Saccharomyces cerevisiae S288C: one gene and its partners. The gene in region 4 interacts genetically with the main gene of each other region. Each region holds a gene or a part of one and is shown on either strand. Other genes may lie near its edges. The genes, in order: FRM2, GRE1, YLR046C and FMS1.

Evidence for each region.
Region 1: mutations in FMS1 (region 4) and FRM2 together harm fitness more than expected from each alone (negative genetic interaction), as found in Saccharomyces cerevisiae (one large-scale study listed by BioGRID).
Region 2: mutations in FMS1 (region 4) and GRE1 together harm fitness more than expected from each alone (negative genetic interaction), as found in Saccharomyces cerevisiae (one large-scale study listed by BioGRID).
Region 3: mutations in FMS1 (region 4) and YLR046C together harm fitness more than expected from each alone (negative genetic interaction), as found in Saccharomyces cerevisiae (2 studies listed by BioGRID).

What each region holds. Positions count from the first base shown.
Region 1 is NC_001135.5:74,204-76,884, forward strand, and holds FRM2 (type II nitroreductase), read right to left. Parts: upstream 1,083-2,681; coding exon 501-1,082; downstream 1-500. Other genes in the region: amino acid transporter AGP1, read right to left, coding at 1,815-2,681. UniProt on the Saccharomyces cerevisiae protein: Type II nitroreductase, able to reduce 4-nitroquinoline N-oxide (4-NQO) into 4-aminoquinoline-N-oxide (4-AQO) via 4-hydroxyaminoquinoline (4-HAQO), using NADH as reductant. involved in the oxidative stress response.
Region 2 is NC_001148.4:128,132-131,017, reverse strand, and holds GRE1 (Gre1p), read left to right. Parts: upstream 1-1,879; coding exon 1,880-2,386; downstream 2,387-2,886. Other genes in the region: FMP40 (Fmp40p), read right to left, coding at 1-856.
Region 3 is NC_001144.5:237,501-240,539, forward strand, and holds YLR046C (uncharacterized protein), read right to left. Parts: upstream 1,314-3,039; coding exon 501-1,313; downstream 1-500. Other genes in the region: STU2 (Stu2p), read right to left, coding at 1-203; FRE8 (putative ferric-chelate reductase), read right to left, coding at 1,847-3,039.
Region 4 is NC_001145.3:313,627-317,403, forward strand, and holds FMS1 (polyamine oxidase), read left to right. Parts: upstream 1-1,750; coding exon 1,751-3,277; downstream 3,278-3,777. Other genes in the region: STB4 (Stb4p), read left to right, coding at 1-1,379; MAC1 (Mac1p), read right to left, coding at 3,539-3,777. UniProt on the Saccharomyces cerevisiae protein: Involved in the production of beta-alanine, a precursor of pantothenic acid. Multicopy suppressor of fenpropimorph resistance.

The DNA of each region.
Region 1 (2,681 bases), on a different chromosome or scaffold from region 4:
CGAATAATCATTAGTAAAAGCGGTATACTGGATTATTGTACGATAACAAGGTAGAGCTTTATTACTAAGCTAAGACGTTCTTACATCAATAGTGCTGTTCGTTATTGATGTTAGGAGAAGGAGCGGGTCTGGTGAATAGTGTAAGCAGTGTTTCTGAACTTTTTCTTCGTCTAAGTCCTTGTAATGTAAGGTAAGAATGCAAGCATCTTGTTTGTAACGCGATTGTACGTTGACGTTAGTAAGTCACAAACCCAAGCTTAACTTCTTCGTGAGGAAGGAAAGTGTTGTCTCCTACTTTTTTCAAATTTTCGAATTGTATTTATATTTATTTAGTACTTCTTGAGTTTACATATCCTTCGTAAAAATGCAACTTTTGTCGAAAAACACTTCCAAAAAAAAATAATAATGAATTTATGAAGCATACTAACGAGCGAGCACATCGCTGAGGTATCATTACTTCATGAGATAAATTAAGATCTCCTCATATGCGAATTTCCTGTTCAGTGATAAACGTTGATTACGTTATTGATAAAAGTCTTTTCTTCTGGCAAGGCAGTTGGAACACCAAAGACCAATTGAGATTGTACAGTCCACGCAATAGGAACATCTTGAGGCAAAGCAGATTTGACGTAGTCATTATAGTGTTGCAAATTAGCCCCCAATCCCAATAGTTCGAGGGCAGTCCAAGACTGAATTTGCACAGCACCGGTCGTATGAGCGGCGCATGTTGGGAAAGCGGCTGCCAAGGCTGGAAAATCTCTTTGCAGTTTTTCAGTTGGTCCTTCATCAGTGAAGAAAATGACTGAACCGTAAGCCTCATCTCTGCAAGACTCTGGTCTCTTCTTGGCTTCAGCAGTTGGCATTGCGCTCGCAACAGCATCCCATATCCTTTTGTGTGTATCACCAACGATAATGACAGCGCGATTCACTTGTGAGTTAAAAGCTGTTGGCGTATTCTTGAGAATAACGTGTACAGTTCTCTTTACATCATCCAAACCGACACCTTGTGGTAATTCGGGCTTCAAATTGTAGATGGTACGACGGTTTGTAATAGCGTTTAAGTAGTTTCCAGTTGGGGACATTTCTTTGGCTTGGAGGTCTGGTGTTCTTGATTTTGATGGTGTATATAGCTTTAAAAAACCAAAAATGATCAACCTTTATATCTCTCTTCGATCACAACATGGGTGGAGACAAACACAAAGTAGTGATGACCCACTCAGGTGTTAAAGTGTGTCATATCTGCAAATGACACTGTATTTTTTTTTCCTTTGCCATTTATTGTCGCAGTAAGGAAAAGCGCAGAGCAAAGCTGACAAATTGAAAAATTATTCGGAAGAGCATTGACAAATATTGATTAATAATCAAGTAACACTCGCAGACATTGTTATTTCAGAAGTAAAAATATCGCAGAACAAGTTGGTTAAACTGAATGCTTCAGTCATTCTAATGCTAATTACACCTTAACAAAATTAAAAATTCTTAACGTAGATTTTTAAAAAAGGCAAGAAGATCGTTCCTGATGCACGACGAAAACGGTTGCACCCCTACTAAGGCAAAATTGCATATGCGGATGAAATCAAACCTCTTCTGTTGCATTAAGAACAAAAGGAAATCATTTTTCTCTCACTTCATATTATTTCACTTATATTTTCCTCTCCACTTCCATCACGCAATCGTTAGTGCTTTTTATTTTTTTTCTTCGCTCATAAAGGACTAGAATTAAAATGAAAATCGTCTATCATTACACGTATGCTATTACTACAAAACAGAAGTACAAAAATGAATAAATATAAAAGAAGTAAATGCTTTTTTTTTTAACACCAGAAGGCAACGACCCTTTTCCAATAAGGTCCGTTCCTCAAACGTTCCCTATATTCTTCGTCTTCTTGCTTGATTAATTCTTCATCAAAGATTTGTCTATGAGAATCTAGGTCGATCTTGTCTGCCCTGATGAACAGTTTCCAATCCTTGTGCCAGACCTTGTAGCCGACATAAAGTGCAATCAAGATTGGCATAGCCAAGTAGTTTTCGAAAAAGGCTTGTGCATCCAGCTTACCTTCACCAATGGGGGCGATAGCGACCCAAAATTGGGCAATAAGAATTAAAATCATCATAATGCAAGCGTAGGCAGATCCCCAAACACCAGTTTGAGATTTGAAACCCAATTCTCCAAGAGATCTCCCTTGGACTTTCATGGCTCTTCTAAATCTAAGATGGGATAAACAAATGGCAGTCCATGTGAAAAGCTGAGACAAACCAGAAATGGCCAATAACCAAGTGAAAACTTGTTCTTCCTTGGGAGATGCAGCACAGAAGGCAATAACGGCAAACAATGCAGAAACACCCATGGCAATCAATGGTCTACCGGCTCTGTCGATGTAGGAGAAAACCTTAGGAGCGTAACCTTGCTCGGATAGAGTTAAAAATAAACGAGCACTGGAGTAGAAGGAGGAGTTAGCCATGGACAGCACGGAAAGTAGAATAACGGCGTTAATGAAGTGTGGGACGACACGGACACCGTGGGATGCAACAGCAATGACATATGGCGAGGCTTTAGTACCACCACCGGTAGAACCCAATAATTGATCGGAATTGTATGGCACCAAGAAACCCAGTAGAATAATGGTAGCCAAGAATAGGAATAAGATTCTGTAGATCATTTGTTTGGCCGCACCTGGAAT
Region 2 (2,886 bases), on a different chromosome or scaffold from region 4:
CCTGCTCATCAATCTTCGTCTCAGTGTCAGGAAAAAAATCCCTTTTGAATATATTAAAGTCGGGTTTCCCCTCAAATTGGGTCCCCCCAGCAAACAATTCCTCAATGCAATAATCTGATAGTTGGATCAACCCTTTCAAGTCGTGCCGCCATCTGAATAGGTTGAAGTTACCCAAGCGGATCCAGCTGGGCGCAAAACGGCATACAACAGCGCACGGTTCTTGATTGCGCCTTTGCGCCTTCGTCCCCGGTAACAGAGTTAATTGCATAGCTCTTGTGGATGGAATTCCAATACTGTGCAACGCCTCGCTCATTATGAATTCACGTATGCTTGATCTTAACACAGCTTTCCCATCTGCAAACCGAGAAAATGGCGTCATACCGGCACCTTTCAACTGAAACGTTTGCCATTGTCCGCTACACTTGTCCTTAAGATCAAACAAGTTTACCACACGTCCGTCTCCCAGCTGTGCAGCAAATGAGCCGAATTGAAATCCGGAGTACACTGTACTATAGGGAAAGATACTATCGGAATAATATACTTTCTCACCGGATAGTATTTTCTCCAAGTCCTGATCCTGCACCAAATTAAACTCATCAAGTGCGTTTTGCGAAAGCAGTAATGGCTTGTAATGTGGTTTCTTAGTGGGCAAACAAAATGCAAAATGAGCCCCCTGCGAAACCATCCGAGGCGTATGGAAAAGCTTTAATCTCACGGGATCCGTTGCATTGTACTGCTGCACGACGTTTATTGCCTCTTGTATGGACGACAGGGAAGTATCTGCGGTCAACTTCTTGATGAAGTGGGACGCTGCAGAGTTTTTCAGCGCTTTGATTATTGTCCTTTTTTCCCCCATGATTGTGTTACACGCTCTATCTTCTTTCTCACACCTTCCTTCTTCTACTTCCGGAGTATAGTCTCTAGCTTATCCTTGATGGCTCTTTTTATGCAGGCAGAATAATTACAGTGACGTATTTGTGGCTTCTTTGGCACAACGTTTTGTTCCACGATCACCTCATATCACCGTTAAGTTCTTCATCGTCCAATTCCGGAGTTCCCCGTCAGCCGTGCGACCATGTGGTATTTCACCCGAATAATTAAGGGAAAACAGAAGGAGAATTACGTATCTTAAAGGAGCTAGACTCTTTGCCTCATTGAGGCTTTCTATACATCGGGTCCCCATGTATGGTCCGTTCCATAGTCGAAGCATCCTTAATTTCCTGTGACATTACAGTAGTTTCGCCGTAGAGCCTTTCACGGGAAGAATATGTTCAGTGGTTCCAGGTATGGGTTTGAGGATGTTCTTGTAAGGTGTGTAGATCCCATCTTTTTTAGGGATCACAAAGGGAAAATAACTACACAGCATGTGGTGGTACAGATGAGGTCAATGGCAGTTTTGCCTTAGTTGTAAGTAATTAACCAATCCTTGTCGTGCTTCTCATGAATGTGTATGAATTTATGTTCATCAGAATATCCCTCTTTAACCACAGTTCTTGCGTAAAGCATAGTCTGGCTTCCTTTAGAAAAAGGAAATGTGGTAATTCTAGGACCACGTTTTGGGCTTCGTCATTTCTTTTCACTCCTCCACTTTTATGACATTTGATCGCAAGTTCCTCCATACATCATGCCTAGTAATCAAAACAAATAACGCACAAGGGAGTAAAGGGAAATGGTTAGAAAAGACCGAAATCCTTTTTTTGGTCTCCGTTACGTGCTTGTTAATCAGGCTCCCTTGAAGCAGTCAATATTTCTTGGACTATAAAAGCACATTACTATTTCATCAAAAAAAGGATACATACCTACCCTCAACTCTTAATATCTACTAGCAGCAGAGCCAAACACTACCGCATAAAAGCTAAGTACGAATAACAATTAAGAAATGTCCAATCTATTAAACAAGTTTGCTGATAAGTTGCACGGCAACGATCATGATGAACGTTACGAAGACGACAATGACGACCAGACTAGACAACAGCGTCATGAAAAACATCAACAGAGGGAATTCAGGAATCAAGGATCCAAGGCCGATCCCTACGGCGAAGAAAACCAAGGGAATTTCCCTCAACGCCAGCAGCCACAGTCTAATCTAGGCGGTAACACGCAGTTTGGCGGTAACGACTTCCAGCAACAAACTACTGACTACACTGCCGGCACTGGTGGTGGCACTTATACCCAAACTTACCGCGAAACTAACACTCAAGGTCAGTTGGACGACGATGAAGACGATGACTTCTTGACTTCGGGCCAACAGCAAAAACAAGGTCGTACAAGAGGTGCTCAAAGTAACCGCTACCAATCCTCTAATATCGGCAGCGGTAGACGCGATCTGTCTGGGTCAGGAAACGATGAATATGATGATGATAGTGGGAACCAAGGCGTCTGGTAGATGCGGTGGTCGAAGCTTCTATTACATGCCTGAGGTGCGGGTCTCACCCTTGAGCAGCAAGTGAGAAATTTTACCCTAATTTCGTCTTCTTTTTTCTTTTTTCTTCATCTGGACCTATTATTGGTCATGATGCCACTTTTTACAAACTATTTCATATGTTTAATCTAGTTTATTTAGATCTACAGCTGTCAGTTTATACGTTTTTATTAATGTCAGTTTGATTTGATTAGTAGTGACCTTTTTCGTCGAGGTATGCCGTTTCACGGACCTCCAGATCCAGGTGTATAACAATAGAATTATGGGAAAACGGGGTGGGAAGGTCGTTGTCTAACTCAAACCTCCTGGAATTAGCGGGTAAAGTGTCGTTATTGTGCTGGGCAACAACTTTTTTTTACGATTTCTTTTTACCTCTCATCTAGGTTAGTGTTAGTTGTAAAAACCCGAGCAGATTGGTGCCTTTTCAAGTGCGTTCTTACAACCATACTTTTTTATTCTAGAAC
Region 3 (3,039 bases), on a different chromosome or scaffold from region 4:
TTAGAATCAGTTATATATTGTGCAAATAATGTAGGATCCCTCCAGTAAATTTGTATGTTGTCATCCCTACTGATGTCGCCAACGGAGTTTCTAAAAAGCTGGTTTAACTCCTTATAAGCTTCTAAACGTGCCTTCCATAACTTGTACGTTAATCGCTCTTCTAGGGGTAACGTTGTATAATCTACTTCTTCTTCTCCTGACATAGTCAACTTCAAACTCTTTAATAAAAACTCAAAAATACTTTACACTGTAAAGATAGCTGTTTCTTTGTAGTTTAGTAATGCTATTTGGTCCCTAGGTCTGGTAGGTTCTTCATTTACTCTTCCTATGGAGTGTCAAGCAGACAAAACAAAAACAAAAACAAAAACAAAAACGACACGAAAAAAAATAGATTCGTTAACCATGATAATCTTTGCACCATATAAAGGAAAAGACAAGATTGACTTCTAATGCCCAGCACAAATATTATCCAACTATTTAATTAATAAATTTTTGACTACTTAATCTTCAGACACAGATTCCTTGTCTAATAATTTGTTTAATTGAATATTGACAGATTTATCCTGCAGCTTGAACAAATTTCTTGCGCGAAAGGTTGCTAGGAAAATCAAAGGTAGTAAAAACATTAGAACTGTATCGAAAACGTAAAGGCACCATTCGTGCTGACCTATATAGCTTTGTAAGCCCATTAGAAATTGTACTACTCTGACAATGGTTCTACCATTAACCAGCAATATCCCAGCTAAAAGTATAAAATTGTACTGGAACCATTCATTACTATCCCGCACAATTTTACTAGGCGTTGCCTTCATTTTATAGTGAAGAAAAAGTTGACTGAACGTTAAAAAGGTATAACAAAATATCTGAATGAAAAGACCCACAATAATTAGGATACGCCCAGTATTCCTGCTGTTCCATGAGGATAACAACCCACCTCCTACAGCCTGTAGGACACGCCCAATCATATCTGCCACTACGAAAGAAACTGTACTAAATTTCGCAGGAATTAACATATATGCCTCCATAAGAATTAGACGTGCCATTTTGCTGAACAACATAAAAATACTAAGGGCGTAAAGTGAAGGTGCTATCAATAGAAGCACCGATTGAGCAATGAAAGTCGAAATCGAGGGGCTATTGATAAAGACTATTTTCAACACATAACCCACGAACTCTAAACAAATCCCTAAAACGAAAGGAAAATGTGTCCACATCAAACCGCGGGCAGGAAAGTATATTATTGTGGAATTTTCCTCTGACAACTCATTGTTTTCCCAGCGATGAATACGTCTCTTGCTCGTGTGTGTTGCCATTATGATCTGCACCAAGGCAGAAAGGATTAAAATGCCAAACAGAACGACAAATGCAATCGCTGCACCTTTGTGAGGATTGTATGCATAAAAACCTTCATAATCAGTGATTGCTTTAGTAAAAAAATTCCTATTGAGGCAGTTGAGTTCTTTTATCGACAATAAGTCTCTAGTACAGTAGTGAGAGTGTCATGTATTCAGTACCAAGAAGAACTTATATGCCTTTTATAATTCATCTTATAAGTTGCTAGACATACAAATAATCAATATGGAAATGTGCTTATTCCCGCTAATATCCATTAATATCCGCTGTCATTTTTCGCAACTATCACCAAGTGGAGAGAGGCTTGACAACCACCAGAAAAAAACTAAATCAGCCTGCGGAACTTTTCTCGGAAAAAATCAGTTAGAAAAGATCGTACATAGGGCCCTTTTTTGACAGTAAGATTAAAGAGCAAAACGGGACATTATAGATATGCCACCATCAAATACGTGAATTTTCCAAGCCTCATAAACTAATAGCCAACTTGCAACTCTTATAATGCAAAACTTTCTCCGTGAAAGTGTAAACCACCATCTGTCGCCCATCTTTTGGTGCTTTCAATTAAGCCTCTAGGGCCTGCAGCGAGAACCCATACTTGTGACAAATATTCAGCATGGTCTCTGCCTTGATTCGCCCACCTGCAACATTGAATAGAATCCGTCTCTGCATCACATTCGGTTTGCAGACACCATTCATAATCCTTATCTCCAAGTGTAGGCCTGCCAAAGAACACTTTAACACCTGCGGGAATTCTGATCTTTTTAGGCGCCGCCTCTAAACAAGGATCTTGGGCAGGTGGCTCAATGATCTTTGGTTGTCTGAAAACGCTCGATCCGTTAAACGAAGAATGTGTAGTTAGAGTTCCTTGTGCAGTATTTTTCCTTGATTTGGATCTGCTAAAAGCATATGTAAAATCTATCTCGTCATCAGCATTGATGTCAGGTATATCACTTGTTTTTGGTGGGTGATGGTTTCTCAAGGTAGATTTCTTACTTAGAAGGGCTGTGTTCTCATTGGGCTCCGTAGGTTGGGGATTTCCATCTGATAACATGGAATTATCTCCCAGTTCTGAAACTCGGCCGCTCGAAGAAATACTCCTGACTTCATCATTAATATCAGCAGCGCAGTCATGATAGTCAATATAATCAATTTCTATGTCCTGTTCGTTGCCTTCGGTGCCACTAATATATATCTCCATACCTTCAAAATTGTTTTTGAAGTGGTTCAATACTTCCAGATCCTTATAATCTCTAGAAACCCAAAGGAGCCTAACGTTTACACCGTTGAAGTTTAGAATACGAAGTAGTGGTAAGCCAAAGGAAATTCCTGAACCTCCAACACACATAAACACTCTTTGCGCTTTAATTAGAAAATTTAAAGGCGAATTTATTAGTGCAGAAGAATTGTTTCGAAATGGATTCTTGGAAGATTTCGTGGTAATATTAAAAGGAACAGTAGGTTTAGAAATGAAACTCAACTCAGGTTCAAAAGCCCCTGTAATGTAATACTTTTCATTTGTACGCAATGGAAAATGCCCGTTTCTAATAATTAACCTGACCAAATTATCACTTGGAATACTAGCAATAGTAAAAGGATGTTGGAAGGGTATCAAATGGGAGAAAAACCTCCTTAAAAAATTTCTATGGTAAATGTTGATCCTTAGATGCCCTCCTGGTAGGATGGGCT
Region 4 (3,777 bases):
TAGAGGAAAATTTATTCAAATACGCTTATTTAATAATCAACACGCTGACCTTTGAGTGGGAATCATTCGAACTAATACAATCGTGGCTTTTGATAACCTTCTATTTCAGAACCTGTTACAGACAGACGGCGTGCTGGAACGCGTTAAGTCAAGCGGTGAACATGTGTAATGGGATGAGTCTATATTTAAACAAATTTCCTGAGATCCATTCCACTTATGATGAATCAAAAGCATGGCATTGTTTCTGGTGTTGTTTTATAATGGATAAGTTGATAAGTTTTCAAATGGGTCGATTCTACCAACTATCATTACCCGCGAGCGAGATGTGCGAACAGATGAATCTAGTGAAGTCAAAGAAATTTTTACAAGAAGAAGATGATTGGTTTCACGAAGAGACTTTTCAAATGCTTGATTTGTCCATAATAGTGACACAGTTTTTAAAAAGAGACGCACAGGATTTAAATTTGAACGAGACCGTGCAATTGCGCAGCCAACTTGGTCAATGGTATGACACCTTTATAGTTGGAAGTCAAACCAATGCGTACGACGACAATTATCGTTACTTCTATCAAGTTCAACCATTCATGACATACCTGGATATAAGGCTGACTTTCGAAGTAAGACAATTATTTTGTCTAATCGCCCCCTCATCTACCGCAAATAATAAATCCCTAGAATATGTCGTCGATACTGAATTGTTAATTTCTCATTGTCAAATGGCTATTGAAAATTTGGCTGAAATTACGAGAAGTAATCTTTTCTTTGTTCCGTGGTGGTTAAACCTTTCTCAACTATTCACGGTAAATTTAATATGTATTATCTACCTGCACGCAGGGATTGCCGTAACTCAAAATAAAGCTATCATGCAAAGCTGCCAAGAAATATGGCGAACCTTAGAGTGCTCTAAGCCAAAAAATCGGCCTTCAATGCTTCCTGAGTGCTTGTGGTGTTTGAAAATGCTGAATCATATGTTCTGCATACGACTGAGAGATTCTGCTTTGCAATTGGAAGCTACTCTCGGAACTGATCATGGTGATGACACCCCTAATAGAAATAAGTTTGAGCAGTTCAAGAAAGTTGGCGATAATGATGCGGATGTTGAAGTTGATGCTGGTGAAAGAGAAGAAAATGCTGATGAAAGACAAGAAAATCCACATAACAATAGCAAAAGAGTACCATTAGCTACTAGGTCTCATAATACCACTAACTTCGACGGTTCAATCGCAATTTCTCCGGAAAGTGCAGTAGCAAATCTAGGTACTGATACTGGATTGCCCTCAGATGTTCTTGATACTGTCAGTAAAATAGGGAACTCTCCTAATGTGTTTGATGATGATTTATTTTCCAATTTATTATGGTTTGACCAAAATTTTGCATAAGGATTCTTTTTCTATTCCATAAAACCATTTTATGGACACGTTTACCTACATATTATTATATTGTATATAAGATGTTGAAAAAATTGAGTCAACCTCACCTTACCACATGTTGGTCCGTTGCTATGACAAACTCTCGTTTTACAAGAAGGAGGCTCAAATTTCGGGTCACCCACCCATATACGGATGTCACGCTATGAGATCTTTTAAACAATAGACAATTTTTGGTATCCTAAAGATATAAAAGAGGAGTTTTTTTAAACCATGGTAACTATTTTCAAATTTGCTCTGCTGCAGTTTTTTATTTCTGTTTTTCTTTTTTTGTTCCCAACAAGAAGTGAGTTAATAAAGGCAAAAACAGTGGTCGTGTGAGAATGAATACAGTTTCACCAGCCAAAAAAAAGGTTATTATAATTGGTGCCGGTATTGCTGGGCTTAAAGCTGCATCTACGCTACACCAAAACGGTATTCAAGATTGTCTTGTTCTTGAGGCCAGAGATCGGGTCGGTGGTAGGTTGCAAACTGTCACAGGCTATCAAGGTCGGAAATATGATATAGGTGCTAGCTGGCACCATGATACGTTGACAAACCCTTTATTTTTGGAAGAGGCTCAACTGAGTTTGAATGATGGGAGAACGAGGTTTGTTTTTGATGACGATAATTTTATTTATATCGACGAAGAACGTGGAAGGGTAGACCATGACAAGGAACTGCTTCTTGAAATTGTGGACAATGAAATGAGCAAATTCGCAGAGTTAGAATTCCATCAACACTTAGGAGTTTCAGATTGCTCCTTTTTTCAATTAGTAATGAAATACTTACTACAAAGACGCCAATTTCTCACAAATGACCAAATAAGATATTTGCCACAACTCTGTCGATATCTGGAATTGTGGCACGGCTTAGATTGGAAGCTTTTGAGTGCCAAGGATACATACTTCGGTCACCAAGGAAGGAACGCCTTTGCTTTGAACTATGATTCTGTGGTTCAAAGAATTGCTCAAAGCTTTCCTCAAAATTGGTTAAAGCTAAGTTGTGAAGTGAAATCAATTACACGAGAACCTTCAAAAAATGTGACAGTGAACTGTGAAGATGGTACTGTGTACAATGCTGATTATGTTATTATTACAGTACCTCAAAGTGTATTGAATTTGTCTGTACAACCTGAAAAAAATTTACGGGGAAGAATAGAATTTCAACCACCCTTGAAACCAGTGATTCAAGATGCTTTTGACAAGATCCATTTTGGAGCGCTAGGTAAAGTAATTTTTGAGTTTGAAGAATGTTGTTGGTCGAACGAAAGTTCAAAAATTGTAACTTTGGCTAACTCTACCAATGAATTTGTCGAAATAGTACGTAATGCGGAAAATTTAGATGAATTAGACTCTATGCTAGAAAGGGAAGATTCTCAAAAGCATACGAGTGTTACTTGTTGGAGCCAGCCTTTATTTTTCGTAAATTTGTCAAAAAGCACAGGAGTAGCAAGCTTTATGATGTTGATGCAGGCACCGCTTACAAATCACATAGAATCCATTAGAGAAGATAAAGAGCGTCTTTTTAGTTTTTTCCAACCTGTGCTGAACAAGATTATGAAGTGTCTAGATTCTGAGGATGTCATCGACGGAATGAGGCCGATAGAAAACATTGCAAACGCTAATAAACCAGTCTTAAGAAACATCATCGTTAGCAACTGGACACGCGATCCTTACTCACGCGGTGCTTATTCGGCCTGTTTTCCAGGAGATGATCCAGTTGATATGGTTGTTGCAATGTCTAATGGTCAAGACTCCCGCATAAGATTTGCAGGCGAACATACTATCATGGACGGCGCCGGCTGTGCCTATGGTGCTTGGGAAAGCGGAAGACGGGAGGCGACTCGAATCTCTGACTTACTGAAATAGAATCTATTTTTTCGAAATTACTTACACTTTTGACGGCTAGAAAAGGATATACATACATATTAAAATTTTTAGTAACACTCTGTGCTTTTTCAAAAATTTGAGGTACACCTAATTCTCCCACTTGTTGCTTATACCAAGTTTGAACAATTTTAATGTTAAGCACAATAGATTGGAATATTATCATATGGTGGTTCAGAGAGTAGTAGGGTGCATTTTCATTCCTGTTGCCTCAATGTGTTTTCTATCTGTATTTACGTGATTTTATGAAGTGGTGGCATCGCTTAGATGTGGTGCATAATTAGAGACTAATTTTTGAAACCACGCATGAATGTCAAGTAATTCTAACTGAGCATCTGTCATCAATGGCACTTGCAACTTCAAAAAATCCCACCAATATTTTGACGGCACCAATTTACCTTTGAATTTTATTTGAGTTTTCCTTGTTAATCTTGCATTCAGAATTCCATAGAAAAAGAATTTTTCAAATGGAATTATATTTG